Linked DNA regions of Caenorhabditis elegans. The protein of the gene in region 1 interacts with the protein of each later gene in a pairwise test. Each region holds a gene or a part of one and is shown in the gene's direction. Other genes may lie near its edges.

What was found. Proteins that work in one complex are often made in the same cells at the same time.
Region 2: the proteins of lin-37 (region 1) and cri-3 interact in a two-hybrid assay, tested with the Caenorhabditis elegans proteins (3 studies listed by BioGRID).
Region 3: the proteins of lin-37 (region 1) and lin-53 interact in a two-hybrid assay, tested with the Caenorhabditis elegans proteins (4 studies listed by BioGRID).

Annotation. Positions count from the first base shown.
Region 1 is NC_003281.10:7,069,457-7,074,979, reverse strand, and holds lin-37 (uncharacterized protein), read left to right. Parts: upstream 1-2,427; coding exon 2,428-2,552; intron 2,553-2,601; coding exon 2,602-2,736; intron 2,737-3,173; coding exon 3,174-3,453; intron 3,454-3,500; coding exon 3,501-3,670; intron 3,671-3,860; coding exon 3,861-3,978; 3' UTR 3,979-4,090; downstream 4,091-5,523. Other genes in the region: ZK418.13 (Pollen-specific leucine-rich repeat extensin-like protein 1), read left to right, coding at 151-696; ZK418.5 (BOS complex subunit TMEM147), read left to right, coding at 1,147-1,219, 1,266-1,399, 1,577-1,774, 1,825-1,961, 2,012-2,147; tmem-17 (transmembrane 17 domain-containing protein), read right to left, coding at 4,095-4,256, 4,324-4,446, 4,495-4,608, 4,661-4,699; R01H2.8 (uncharacterized protein), read right to left, coding at 5,420-5,506.
Region 2 is NC_003281.10:3,394,846-3,398,950, forward strand, and holds cri-3 (Conserved regulator of innate immunity protein 3), read left to right. Parts: upstream 1-1,739; 5' UTR 1,740-1,744; coding exon 1,745-2,016; intron 2,017-2,066; coding exon 2,067-2,251; intron 2,252-2,301; coding exon 2,302-2,405; intron 2,406-2,454; coding exon 2,455-2,604; 3' UTR 2,605-2,782; downstream 2,783-4,105. Other genes in the region: Protein clpf-1, read left to right, coding at 2,909-3,068, 3,486-3,683, 3,994-4,105.
Region 3 is NC_003279.8:9,616,888-9,621,570, reverse strand, and holds lin-53 (putative histone-binding protein lin-53), read left to right. Parts: upstream 1-1,810; 5' UTR 1,811-1,813; coding exon 1,814-1,969; intron 1,970-2,023; coding exon 2,024-2,607; intron 2,608-2,654; coding exon 2,655-3,168; 3' UTR 3,169-3,360; downstream 3,361-4,683. Other genes in the region: nra-2 (Nicalin), read right to left, coding at 1-72, 113-245, 288-831, 890-1,016, 1,064-1,215, 1,261-1,338; putative histone-binding protein rba-1, read left to right, coding at 3,470-3,613, 3,661-4,101, 4,144-4,295, 4,356-4,610, 4,669-4,683. UniProt on the Caenorhabditis elegans protein: Core histone-binding subunit that may target chromatin assembly factors, chromatin remodeling factors and histone deacetylases to their histone substrates in a manner that is regulated by nucleosomal DNA.

The DNA of each region.
Region 1 (5,523 bases):
AGACTAGCGGGTACTCGAGATGAAAAGTATGCGGACGTGTCAAGACTTCGCTCCCAATTTAGCTTTAAAAATATTTAAGTTCGCAAAAAAATAATTCGATGAAATCGAATGTAATTTCTATTAAAATTATTTTCAAATTATGAATTACAGCTCCGAAACCTGCCTGGCCAAATCGGAATGTCTGAGCTGGAGCCGGAGGACCTTGAAGTTACACCGGACCCACCCGAATTCATTCCACCCCGGTCCCCAGGTCTCCAAATCATGAAGCCACCGCCCGTATCGCCTCCGTCTAACATTCCCGAGCTCATCCATCATCAACCGGCACTTGTCACACAACCCGAATCAAGACCAGATCCAAATTTGATCATTTTGCCGGCTCCAACTGATGTTCATCCGCCAAAGTCCCCGGTGCACCATGTTATCAAGCAAGAATCCATGAAGGACATCCCACCGGGATCACCTGCATCTCCAGGAGCATGGTCTGGCTCCAATAGCTCGTTGATCTTTATGCCATCTTCTACTCAAGCACCGGAACATTATGCTATTCCATCCGTTTCCAATGTTTTGATGTTTCGTAAAATGGAACACATTTTCTACAGCTCGGAATCCAACTGGTGGTTGCTCGTGGCACTGGTGATGCTCACAATTTTTGCGTACCGCTCTTCTATGGAACAACACACTTGCTATTACGATTGATGATTATGATTATAAAGATCTTTTTATTTGTAAATTATTTGTTTTAATACGAATTCGAAAAGTCTGCCATATGATAGAAAGTCCTATTCAAACTTCGCGCGTAAATGGTTCTCAATAAAGCGCGGTTGCACTACTCTTTTTTTGTCGCTCTTCGTCAACTTCTGGTAGCGTGAGCCCTTCAAATATCATCATTCAAATGCCCATTTTATCGATTTTATTGAATTTTAGTTATTTTAAATCCAATGATTATTCTCAAAATGAATTTCATAATCATCGGCTGGTGTTTTTGAAGGTTTCTAGTGTGTCCAAACGAAATTTATAGTCCTAAAATATTAACATTCAGTAATTCATAATTGCTTAAGAATTAAAAATTACCTTCTTTGTTCCTTGATATCAAGTATATAGTTTTAATATTAATTCAATATCTTTCAGGTAAGCTAAATCTACAAAATGTCATTTTTCCATTTCATCAATTGCTTCGCGTTGGCATTTGCACCATATTTTATTGTCTACAAATACTCAGGTAATATTTTTTATGGGAAGTCAATGAAACACCACTATTTTTATAGGAATTAACGAATACAGTTCCATCTGGAAATGTGCAACTGCTAGTGGTGGATATTTGCTGACACAACTCGCCAAACTGCTTATCATTGCCACATTTTTCCCAGCCCTCGACAGTGAAGGATTCAGTATTGTGCCGGTATGTAATTAATTTTTCTATTCAAAATTGGAGCTATAAATAACGTTTCAATGAAAATCATTTTAATTCAAGTTTTAAGTGAAATTTACCATAAACCCATCCTCGCCGGACATAATCCTTCGGACACTTCAAACTTATTGATTTTGGTTTTCATTGCCAATCTCAGAATCATTGCAGGAATTCCTAAAAAGCAGTGCTGACATCATCGATGTCATTGGGCTTCACCTTCTGATGACCAACTTCTTAGCCGGAAAAGGAGAAGTTCGATTCGTTGTCGGTGGTCTTGGCTGGGGATTCGCTCATTCTGTTGCTCATCGTCTTGTTCTTTTATGGGTTGGAGCTCGTGGAACCGCTTTCACATGGCGTTGGGTTCAGGTGATCAAATCTTCCTTTTTTCTGAAAAAAAGATAATATTATATTTTCAGACATCTCTTGATTCCTCAGCTGATCTATTGGTTATTGTGTCTCTCGCCTGCCTTACATGGATGATCACCCGCACTCCAAACAAGTTCTTGGTGTCACCGATCCTTGCGATGTGTGTCTTCTCAACATTCGTTTATCAGTAAGTATTGGTTTTACTAGTCAAAAAATGTAAATTTTTTTTTATTTCAGAACCGTTCAACACACATTCTCTCTCTACGGATGGTCTCTCTTGGCATTCCGCTTTGCCTACTCCATCGCAACAGCAATTCTCACCGTCGTTGTCTATTCGGCAAACCGGACAGCGTCCACAAGAAAGAACGAGTAGCAACACATATTCTGCTATAATTCACTTTTTGTCAGTTTCAATACTATCTTAGATTCTTTCAGAATTTATATATTTATTCGAAATTTTCTTCTCTCCTTGTTCATGTTTATACAAGTACCCAAAAATATTTATTGTTTAATTTAATAACTGCTTCAAAAATTGTCGTCCTTATATTTACTCTACAATTTTTATCTCTTTTTATTAAAGGTTAAATACCTTTATTACTTTGGCAAGTATTCGCTGTTCACTGTCCAAATAATGTATTCCTCTCCAATTCTAGATGTCAGAAATAGATCCACTTGCCGAGTTCTTGCTTCCAGAAGACGGAGATCGAAATGCTCGTCAAAATGATCCATTGATAAGCGGAGGTCCACTTCCATTGGAATCGCCAAGCAGAAAACTCACGTAATACTTTCTAAACTTGAAACAATTGTGCTACTCAAGATGCTTCCAGATCCCTGTTATCCTATGATCCGACAGTTCCGGAGTCACCGGATATGAAATTCGCCAGAAAACGTCTGGGAAATCTGCTGACAACCATAAAACATCACCCATCGGAAATAATTGGAGTACTCCCAGAAGATTATACGTAAGTGATAAAATGGAAAATTTCAATTCTTGTTTAATTTTCGGCAGAGTATACCATGCCTGGGGCGAAAAATCATTTTTTTTTTGGTTTTGATTTTGTATCAAAAAGCAAAAATATGTAAAAAAGCCAAAAAAAAATTGGAGATTGAATTTTAAACCTTAATATTTGAGAAAAAGAATTAAAAACTATGCAGAGCCACATTTAGTTTGAAAGAAAAGTAAAATAAATTTTGTACACAGAAAACGTTTACAGTAAATACAGCATTTTTTTTCAGTTTTTTGGTTCCAGATAAATAGTTAATTTTTGTCAAATGTCGCGTCCTGGAATATACATAACAGAAAAAAATTTAGACAATGTGGACCTTTTTGTTTTTCGTAATATAAATTTTAGACATAATTGAAAAATTAGAGTTTCCATTGCATTTTTTATAATTTCAGTCGTGCTGATGAAGAGCCCGGGCGCCAAGGACGTCCACCAGGTCGCCCTCGTAAGATGCCGCGTCACGAATCTTCAACTTCACTTATGGAATCACCACGCAAGACTATGACTCGTGATTCTAAAATTATGTTTGAATTGCGTGGAAAACCATTCGAAATGATAGCTGGACGTTTTGAAGAAGAATATTCACTTGGTAGAGCATGGGTTAAAGGACACATGAATAATGAATATGAACCAATAAAAGCTCAAAGGACAGACTATGCACCGAATCTGGCTGTTGTGAGTGGGAAAGATTAAATGAAAAATGTTATAATTATTTCCTTCAGGATTATCTTGCATGTCGCGAGATTCATCGAATGCCACGTCCAGATAAATCAATTCCTGAGCTGCCAATTGTTCCATCTAGAATCGATGAATTCGACGCTACAGTCGATCCAAGATATGAAACAGATTTGAAAAATGAATACATTCGTCATTGGAAACAAGTCAAAAAAGGGTAACACTTCTTCTGCCATTGAAAATTTCCGTAAAAATTTATTTCTTAAAGTATTACGGTAACTGTGCTCTATGTTAGAATTTCATTTGTCGAATTTTGTATCAAACTATAAAATAAAAAATATTGTACTAGCAATCTGTGATCACTACTATTTCTTCAAAGTCAGAGAATCCAAAAAAAAAAATTTCAGTTGGTGTGCTCATCAACGTCGTCGGACTGCTCCCCATGCAAGAAGCATAGCATTAATCAACAAAATCTACCAGCCTGGAGAGTCGAAAACTGTCGAGCAAGCACTTGGTCTTATTTAAATATTCTAACATGTAATTTCAATTTATCTCTTACTTTCTGATCTTGCTATCACATGTCTCTTATTTCAAAAATCTCACTTTAAAATTCATATAAATAATGGGTTTATTCAAATACATCATCTTGACAATTGTTTTTTCAACGTTTTTCTTCCACTTTTTGGAGATTTTCCTGAAGTTTTCTCGAGCTCGTCAGCTACTTTTTCTTGTTGAATCTTGTTAATATATTTTGCAACTTCTCGTTCGGCAGTTTTCATCAAAGCTTCTATAGCGAATACAGTCTGAAATAGAAATATTTTGAGAATATTCAGATTTTTGAATTTTCACTTGAAATCCACTAAAAATCACAATCATTGTGTAGAAAACGTATTCAAGTGGGAGATTCAGAAAAGAGCCATTCACTGCCAAGAATACTGTAAGAGGAATTTGAATAATAATTGTAGTTATTAAGAATCCAAAAAGAGCTGACATCTGTAAACACTAGTGTCGATTTTCTGACTTGACTCATTCAAAACTTACATTTTCTGCCAAATTTCCATAAAATCCAAGTCCTAGCCGTACTCCTTCACTTCCCAAATGAACTAAACACGCAGAAAATGCAATTACTTGATACGTTAATGACAGCAGACTATGCTGAAATTCAAATAATGCTCTAAGTATGTTCCACTGTAATTTTTTTTTTTACCTTGAAGTATAATGATAAGCATAGATTAATCAAATGCATAGGATAGATGCATAAGTTGAAATATATTGCAATTTGAAGTGGAAAACTTGAGATTATTTCTGTAATAATTTTTTAAAAAAGTTGTGAAAAGTGGTTTTTAGAGATTCTCACCCAACTTAAATGGTTCTTGTGATAGATTTTCCATTTTTAATAGCACTAGGACCCCAAAGAGGTTACGAGGCGGTGGGCGGTTACTATGGAAACCAACCACAGAAAGGGAAATGGTGCTCCAATGTGGAGATGGAGATGGAAATGTGTAAAACGAATTGAGAAAATGTTAAGCTACAATTTCAGCTATTTCTTTATGAGCAAAATATAATTCGTCAAAACATGAACCTAAACTTTTAAAACAATGTTTCGCGAAAATTTTAACCATTGATTGTTCATAGTTTTTTTTTAAAATGATTTTATCCCTTCATTTAGCTCTGCAATCAGGCTCGTCTTAAATGTGGCATTACGTTCTCGGGTCTTGCCACGAGCTAAAATTTTCAGCTACCGGACTTGCTAATATTTTGCAACTTCACATTGAGGGTTTATTAACTTTATGATTTTAATTGTACATCTGTATATTTATTAGCAGATTATCGAAAAGAGTATATAATAATATTAGAAAATTCAGCGAAAATTGCAATCTACCGTACTGGCGGTTACTGTAGCGGAATGGTTAAAATCTTTGTAGTTTTCGTTAATACATAATGTTATTCATTCTATTTACAACAATTAAACAACACAGCAAACAAGATTTAATTTTTCGGGTCCCGGTCGGTCACAGCACGTTGTTATGAAGTTGAATCGTTGTTTTAAATGCTGAAAGTTTTGATTTT
Region 2 (4,105 bases), 3.7 Mb from region 1:
ATTTTCGGCAAAATGTGGTTTTGCACCTTTTTTTGGAAATTTCAGAATTTCAATTTAAATCGGCAAAATTGTACGCACCCTATGAATGTTCCTACGTCTATTTTGAAAAATAAGCAACTTCTATGAAAATTTCTTTAAAAAGCGGGATATAAATTCCAAAAAGGCAGTTTTAAGTGGTTCCGTCTTATAAAAAGTGCCTCTACACATTTCCGGCAAATCGGCAAACCGGCAATTTGGCGATTTGCCGAACAGCACTTGCCGCCCACCCAATTCCCGGTATAAAAATGTAGATTGTTTAATATTTTCCCCCGGCCAAAATTCACATTAAATGCGACGAAATGCAATTTTTTTTTCCTCAAAACTGTAGCAGAAAATGGAGAATTCTCTCCGGAAAGCAGAAAAAACGTTATGAAGTGATTCACATGACTGGCAAACATAACATAAACGGAAAAGAGCGGAAAAACAATCGATATTCTTCGGAACGACGGGAGAAGCAGTGAAGAGAGTGAAGAGACGGAGAGAAGACAGTTCCCATTCGTTGTGTATTTATACGGAGACAGTTCCTTTCGAATGTGTGTGAAAGGACATTGGAATGAGGAGGTATATATGATGACTTGCCGATAAACAAGATATTCCGACGGAATACGGAATACGATTTAATTTCTGGGAGGTTTTGGGAACGGAATTTGGGGTCTAAACACTATGAAATACCGAAAAAATGGTTTTTTAAATTTGAAAGTACGCCAGTTTTTGCCCTAAATGACAGAAAAAATCCTCACTATACAGGACATTACTGCTGAAAAATTAATAAAGATTTCCTGAATTTTGTTTGATTTTTTAATTTTTCCAACAAAAAACCGAATAATTTTTGAATTCCCGCGCAAATAAATGTTTTCTAGATCGGTTTTTCTAGATTTTTCATTATTATTTGATTTAAAACATGATTTTTCGAATTTTAAAGAGTTTTTCCGTTTAAAAAACGCTATGACCTCGAAATAAATACACTGAAGCTTCAAAAATTCCGAAAAATGCCAGAAAACAAGTTTTCTAGACGAAAAAACTTCTGAAAAACTGAAAATTAATGAAAAATCGAGAAAAACCAACGATTTTAGCCAGAAACACGAAATTCGAAAATTCAAAAGTATAAAAATATTCCTTAAAATCGATAATCTCCTAGTTTAATCAATAATCTTCAAAAAATTCTAAACATAAATTTCGCAATGCTGCTTTTTCAAATGACTCATGACTCATCGCGCCAGCTGCGCAGCTCTATTCCATGTTTTTACAACAAAAAATCGATTTTTCTGGCAATTTTCAGTTTTATTATATAATTTTAAGCCCAATAGTCAATAATTTCAAAGAAAACGCACTTTAAAATCATTTTAAACAAGAAAAAATCGATTTAAAATGAGAAAATATGGCTGAAAAACGTTTGAACACAATTCCAAAGCGCGCCAAGTTAAAGGCGCATGCCATTTTGCGGCGAAGATATCTTGCCACGAAAGGCTCTATTTGAATTATTTTCGTCGGCTTTTCGCATATTCTCTCGCTTTTTCTTCGGTTCTGCACGCTTCCACTGATTTTTTCGAGGTTTTTCATTGAAATTATTGATTTTTGACAACTAAATTAGCCTAAAATCAATTAGAAACGCTTTATAACCTGATAATCTTGATTTTTAGCTCGATAAAAACTTGCATCATTTTTGGAAAATGTAATTTTCTATTTTTTTCTTCTTTCAGGTAAAATGAACACTGCTTCCCTTGTTCGCTCCCTGTCCCGAGTGGCTCTCCGTTCATCCCAGGTCGTCAGAATGGCCGCTCCACGCCATTTCTCACAATCGGCCAAGGTTCTGTCAGTAACGCCAGAACTTCAACAGGCCCTGAACCGTGAGATCGAAGCCGAGCAACAGCTGAGCAGCGACAATCTTCAAGGAGCCGTTGCGCCGACATTTGCTGGCTTCCAAGTCACCAATAAGGACGCCGAAGTTAGGCTGACCAAGAAGAATGGAAGCGAAGAGTTCGTTTTTTTCAGAATTTTTCATAGTTCTAAAGTTAATTTTTTTAAAGCATTCTCGTCGTCTTCAATGTGAACCACTCTGTCGATATGGACGAAGGATTCGACGATGAGCCATCCCAGGCCGTCGCTCCAGTTCCAGTAGCCATGCCACCATTCACCGTCGAGATTACCAAGGGAGATCAGAGACTTTGCTTCCATCTCGAGCTTGTGCCAGTTGACGATCAACCTGATGAGTGTAATACTCGATTTTATCGAAAACTCGAATAAAATATATACTATTTATAGATGATTTCCGCGTCGAAGAGTTCTACGTCGCCCCATCTGCCAAGAATGGAAACGAGGACGTACCATCCGAGGTGTACGCTAGCAGTGGAAAATATATCGATCCAGTTAGTAGTCCCAAGAGGACCGCAAATTATTGATTTTTTCTAATTCCAGGACCTCCACGATCTCCTGTTCGTTCGTTATTTGGAAGAACGCGGTCTCGATGCTCGGTTCTGCAAGACTCTCGTCGCCTATGCCACTCACTACGAGCACTCTCAATACGTTGGACTTCTCGACAAGATCAAGAAGTTCATCTCCAAATAGATTGCTTTCTGAAATTTTTTCAATTGTTTTGTTTTTTCTGTCTTTTATAACTTTACTGTTGACGTTTTTAGGTAATCTAAATAAGTAGCACATTTTCTTTCAGCTCGTTTATTTTCCTTAGTTTTTTGTTCTGTTTTGAGGTTTCTCTCCTCCAAAAATAATAAACCCATTGTTTTTTTCTTCTTTTGTAGTTTTCCGCATCCCAAATTTTTTGTAAATTAACTATGTCTTTGCTTTATCTAATTCCGCGTTTTTTCCTGAAAATTAAAAAATCAATAAAGCCTCATTTTCAGATTCCAAAGAAATGAGCGAGGAGAATGTTCAAGAGTTCGTTTTGAAAGAGGACTGTGAGCTGAGATTTGCCGCCGGAGACGATTCGGATGTCTGTCTGGAGCTCGTCAAGGGATACGCTGAAATTTTTGGCACAGAACTGCTGTTAAATAAGAAATATACATTTCCAGCCAGTAAGTTTTCCTCGAAATCTGGATTTTTTTTCAACTTTTCAAAAACTCCCGTTTTCTGGCTATATTTATTGCTCTTTCTCCGTTTTTTTTCTGTAATATTTCGCTTGAAACACTGTTTTCCTAATGTTTCCGCAGAAAAAGCACAAATTTCTGTGAAATTATCGACTTTTAGGTCAATTTCCAAGTTTTAGCGTGTTTCTTTGCGGTTAAAGTAGAGAAATTCGCTGAAACTTCATCTTGAAACTTGGCCTAAAAATCGATAATTTCAGATGTAATCATTTGTTTTATGCGGAAAAGTCTGGAAAACAGTGTTTTAAATCAAATATCACAGAAAAAAATTGAGAAACACCAATGGATTTGGCCATAAAAGTCAATTTCGGCCCATTTTCTGCCATTTAAAACCCAATTTTTCCTCAGAATCTCGTGTGGCGGCGTTCACGTGGAAAGGCGCCACAATTGAGCTCGTCGGCACAACCGAGAGCGCATACGTTGCCGAGAGCACTCCGATGGTCATTTATCTGAATATTCACGCAGCTATGGAAGAAGTTCGGAAGAAGAGAGAGGAACAGGCGGCTGGAAACTCGAATAAGGCAAAAGGACCGAGATTGCTGTTGGGTGAGCTGATTCTAGGCTTTTTTTGGAGATTTTTCGTCGAAAAACTGAAAATTTCTGTGGTTTCTGCAGGAAAATCGAGTAAAAATCATTTGAAATACTGGAAAAATCAATATTTTCAAGGGGCGGGGGCTATTTGCAAGCCTGGCACGGTTGTTTTGCAACCGTGCCGCACGGCCCGCCCACCTTTTTATTTTATTTTTTTTCGGAATTTAAGTAATTTATTTTTATGTTTGGCTTCGAAAAATGTAGAAAAAACCTTGTTTTCCGGTTTTTTACTGATTTTTAACCCAAAAAATAATTAATTTTCCAGTTGGACCAACGGACGTCGGAAAAACCACAGTCTCCCGTATTCTGTGCAACTATTCGGTTCGCCAAGGACGTACCCCGATATTTGTGGAGCTCGATGTCGGTCAGAACAGCGT
Region 3 (4,683 bases), on another chromosome or scaffold:
CTTACTGTCGTCAAAGAGATTTTTTTCGTTACCAACTCTATATTCTTCTTTGGAGAAATGCTGCTGAAATATCTTACGAACGATTAAAATCAATAAACTTTTAAAACAGTACTTAAGTCTTCTGAGAAGTTGAGCTGCTACTGAATTTTCTGATGGTGTCTTTCCAGCATGCATGAAAAATCCTCCCGTTTTGCGACCAATTGCCTCAATACATATTGCCAAGTCAACACGATCATCTGAAAACCCTTCAAAACCGGTAAAACGACACTCTCCTTTTACTGCATTACCTTTTCTAGAAAGTCCAGATTTGGCATAATCAGCGCTGTCAAAGCCTTTCTGGTACTCATCGATCCAGTGACGAGTTCCTTGATAATTGAGCTTTCCAGCTGCTGTCCAAATGAACAAAATATTGTATGGAGGACGTGTGCTTGGAGAATCATAGAATTTTGACAGAACAGCAAGCAATTCGAGAAGTGCAACTATACCAGACCCATTGGAATCAGCGCCAGGCGAGACTCCTGGAACGGCCGATTGTGTGTCATAGTGTGCCACAAATGCAATCGTAGGTGCAGCACGATCTCCACTACTCAAGCGACCAACAATATTCAGTGGTTTGTATGAAGGTGGAAGTTCTGGACTTTGATCGGAAGAAGTGATACTGATTGTGTTTCCGGAAAGTGATTGAAGCAAATGTTGCAGGGCTGTGGGAGCTTTTTCCGAGCGAGTATTGACATCGTGAAGAATAGAAACGGCGTCATCATTGAAAGGAGCCACATAAACAGCCAAGTCGGTCTTTGCGCTCAACAACTTTGCTTCAAGATCGATGAATGCCTGAATAATGAGCATAAATAACTTTTATGGCAATATGAAATTAAATGTTCAAGCTAACCTTCCGATCAATATCGTTAAGTTCATCAAGATTGTCGGGAATGAAAATAAGCACGGCACCGGTAGAAAGTGCCCACATGTCATCGACATCTGTTGTAAGAAGATCTCGCCATGTTGTAACCATAGTTCTAGATATTAAAATATTACTATTTACAAATGAAATATCCAAAAAAACCTGCGAAGAGTTCTTGCACCCAAGGAAACAGCTTCATATGATACGCGATAATTTTTGCATCCATAAATGTTACCACTGATTTCGTATTGATGAAGACGGTACGCATGAAACTCGGTTTCTACGACTTCTCCAACTTGCTGGGACCCGTTCACCTAAATATGGAGAGTTCATCTTCTAAATCATTACCAACAACTTACTACACAAATGGTTAACATTAAAGTCATGTAGAAAAGAAGAGCCGGACTTCGGAAAAAATCGATGATTTCATCCTGCATCTGAAAAAAACATATCTTAAGCTCAAAATCACGAGAATCCTGTGCAAATTAGGATGAAAGATCTTTCGGAGTAGGAATTATTTAATAACACAAACTATCATGATTCTACAGAAATCGATAGAATTAAACCAGAATTGATGATATATAATACCCGAGTAGGGAGAAAACTGCATGAGTTTTCTGAGCGGAATTCAAATGAGCCAAACATGCTCTACCGTACCTTGCAACAGCGGTGAAGGCAAATCGTTGCGAGACCCCTCCCCGCGAAAACCGCGACGCGCACACACTTTGAAAGTGGGTTTTATCGGTCTTCTACAGTTTTGGTCACTTTCCCGCATTAAAATTCTCTGTTTTAATATATTTAAATTCAATTGAATTAATATTTTATTATTCACCCCTTCTTTGTTGTATTATTTTATCTAACTACACTGTTTGAACGATAATTATTCTTTGCAAAAATTGAAAATTTCAGGAAATGGCCACTCTTGAAGATGGAACCTCCGAAGATCGCGTCGCAAATGATGAATACAAAATTTGGAAAAAGAACACCCCGTTCTTGTACGATCTCGTAATGACACATGCGCTTGAGTGGCCTTCACTCAGTGTTCAATGGCTCCCAGACGTTGCGAAGGTATGTGTTCTCATATAATTCACAACTTTCATGAAGTGAATTCAAATAATTTAGGATAACAGCGACCATACTATTCATCGGCTCATTCTTGGAACTCATACTTCAGATGAGCAGAATCACTTGCTTATTTCTAAGATCTGTATGCCAACGGATGATGCCCAATTTGATGCATCTCGCTACGATACCGAGCGCAGTGAATACGGTGGTTTCGGAGCTGTTAACGGAAAAGTGGAACCCGATATTCGCATTAACCACGAAGGGGAGGTTAACAGAGCTCGTTACATGCCTCAAAAGTCGAATATCATTGCTACAAAGTCTCCACATGCTGATGTTTACATTTTCGACTATTTAAAGCACTCTGCTGTTCCTCGTGATAACACGTTCAATCCGCTTATCAGACTGAAAGGACACACGAAGGAAGGCTATGGATTATCATGGAATCCAAACAAAGAAGGTTTGATTCTATCAGCGTCAGATGATCAGACAGTTTGTCATTGGGATATCAACGCAAATCAGAATGTTGCCGGGGAATTGCAAGCGAAGGATGTTTTCAAAGGTCACGAGTCAGTCGTTGAAGATGTTGCTTGGCACGTTTTGCATGATGGTGTCTTCGGATCGGTTGGTGACGATAAGAAATTGTAAGCTTTTGTTTTTTTTCTATTTATTAACTAATTAAAAATTATAGGCTCATTTGGGATGTGCGCACAAGCACTCCTGGACACTGTATCGATGCTCATTCTGCCGAAGTTAACTGTCTCGCATTCAATCCATATTCCGAATTCATTCTGGCCACCGGATCAGCTGATAAAACTGTCGCTCTTTGGGATCTACGTAATCTACGAATGAAACTTCACTCATTTGAATCACATCGTGATGAAATCTTCCAAGTTCAGTGGAGTCCACACAACGAGACTATTCTTGCATCCAGCGGTACTGATAAACGTCTTCATGTGTGGGACCTATCTAAGATTGGAGAAGACCAATCTGCCGAAGACGCGGAAGATGGTCCACCAGAGCTGTTGTTTATTCACGGTGGGCACACCGCCAAGATCAGCGATTTCTCGTGGAACCCGAACGAGCCTTGGGTTGTGTGCAGTGTGTCAGAAGACAATATTCTCCAAGTGTGGCAAATGGCTGATAACATATACAACGAAGTTGACGAAGAAACTCCAGCCGATGTGGTAGAGAGACAACAGTAAAATACGTGAAACGCGCTTAAATTATTTGTATTTAACTTCTATCCTTCTTTAATTTTGCATCTCAACAAATTGTTCATCTTACCATTTATTCAAACGCATATTCTTCACCAACTAAGTTTTTAAAGTTAAAATGTTACCTTGAGATATGATCATATTTTGTTGAACCTGAAATAAATTCGATGACCATTGTCAGATAACTGTTTTGAAATATTATGTTAACGTGATTGTTGTGATAGCTCAGATTGTGATATTTTTGGTTTTTTGTTGTATCTTTTGTTATTTCAGGCAATTTCAGAGCACAATGAGTGAAGCTGAATCGTGTGAAGAAACGAGTAAAGAACATAGAATTTGGAAGAAAAATGTTCCATATCTCTACGATACAGTCGTCACAAAAGAGGTCGAGTGGCCTTCTTTATCAGTGCAATGGATGCCTGATGTCACAAAAGTAAGAATCGGTAAATATGATTTCGCCTTCTTCATTATTTTTTTAAGACAGAGAACTCGGATTCATCGATGCATCGAATGATTCATGGAACACATACTTGTGGAGGAGTTCAGAATCATCTCATGATCTCAAAGTTCACAATAACGACAGACACACCAGAATTCGACGACGCTAAATGGGATTCGGAACGTGAAGAGTTCGGAGGTTATGGAGAGGGCAGCGCTGCAAAATGGGATACTGAGATTAAAATCAACCATCCAGGAGAAGTTCATAGGGCACGTTACATGCCACATAATCCTTTCATTATTGCAAGTCGAGGTCCTTCTGATGACGTTTATATTTTCGACTACACGAAGCACCCATCTGAACCAAAAGACACCAAATTTCGACCTCAATTGCGATTGAAAGGCCATGAAGGCGAAGGATATGGAATGTCGTGGAGCAACACCAGAGAGGGACATTTGCTAACTGCCGGCGATGACGGAATGGTATTTCTAACAAAAGATATACATAAATATACATTTTTTAAGATTTGCCACTGGGATATAAACGCGAATCAGACCATTTCCGGTCAAATAGTGCCACAAAGCAAGTTTAAAGGTCATTCATCAAATGCGGAGGATGTTTCTTTTCACGCGCTCCATAATTTCGTTTTTGGATCTGTTGGAGATGATAGAAAACTGTAAGTATAAATACATCATACCATTCTGTCGAGATTTCAAAATAATTTTCACGTCTTTAGAAACCTATGGGATCTGCGTCAATCAAAGCCACAGCTCACAGCCGTCGGACATACTGCAGAAGTTAATTGTATTACTTTCAATCCGTTTTCCGAATACATTTTAGCAACCGGATCTGTTGATAAAACGGTTGCTTTGTGGGATATGAGGAATATGCGCAAAAAAATGTACACGCTGAAACATCACAACGACGAAATATTTCAAGTATCGTTCAGCCCGCATTATGAAACTGTTCTGGCTAGTAGTGGATCGGATGAGTAAGTTTTTTCCTAATAAGTTGTATTTGTTTAACCTATGAAATTTCAAAAATTTCAGTCGGGTTATCGTTTG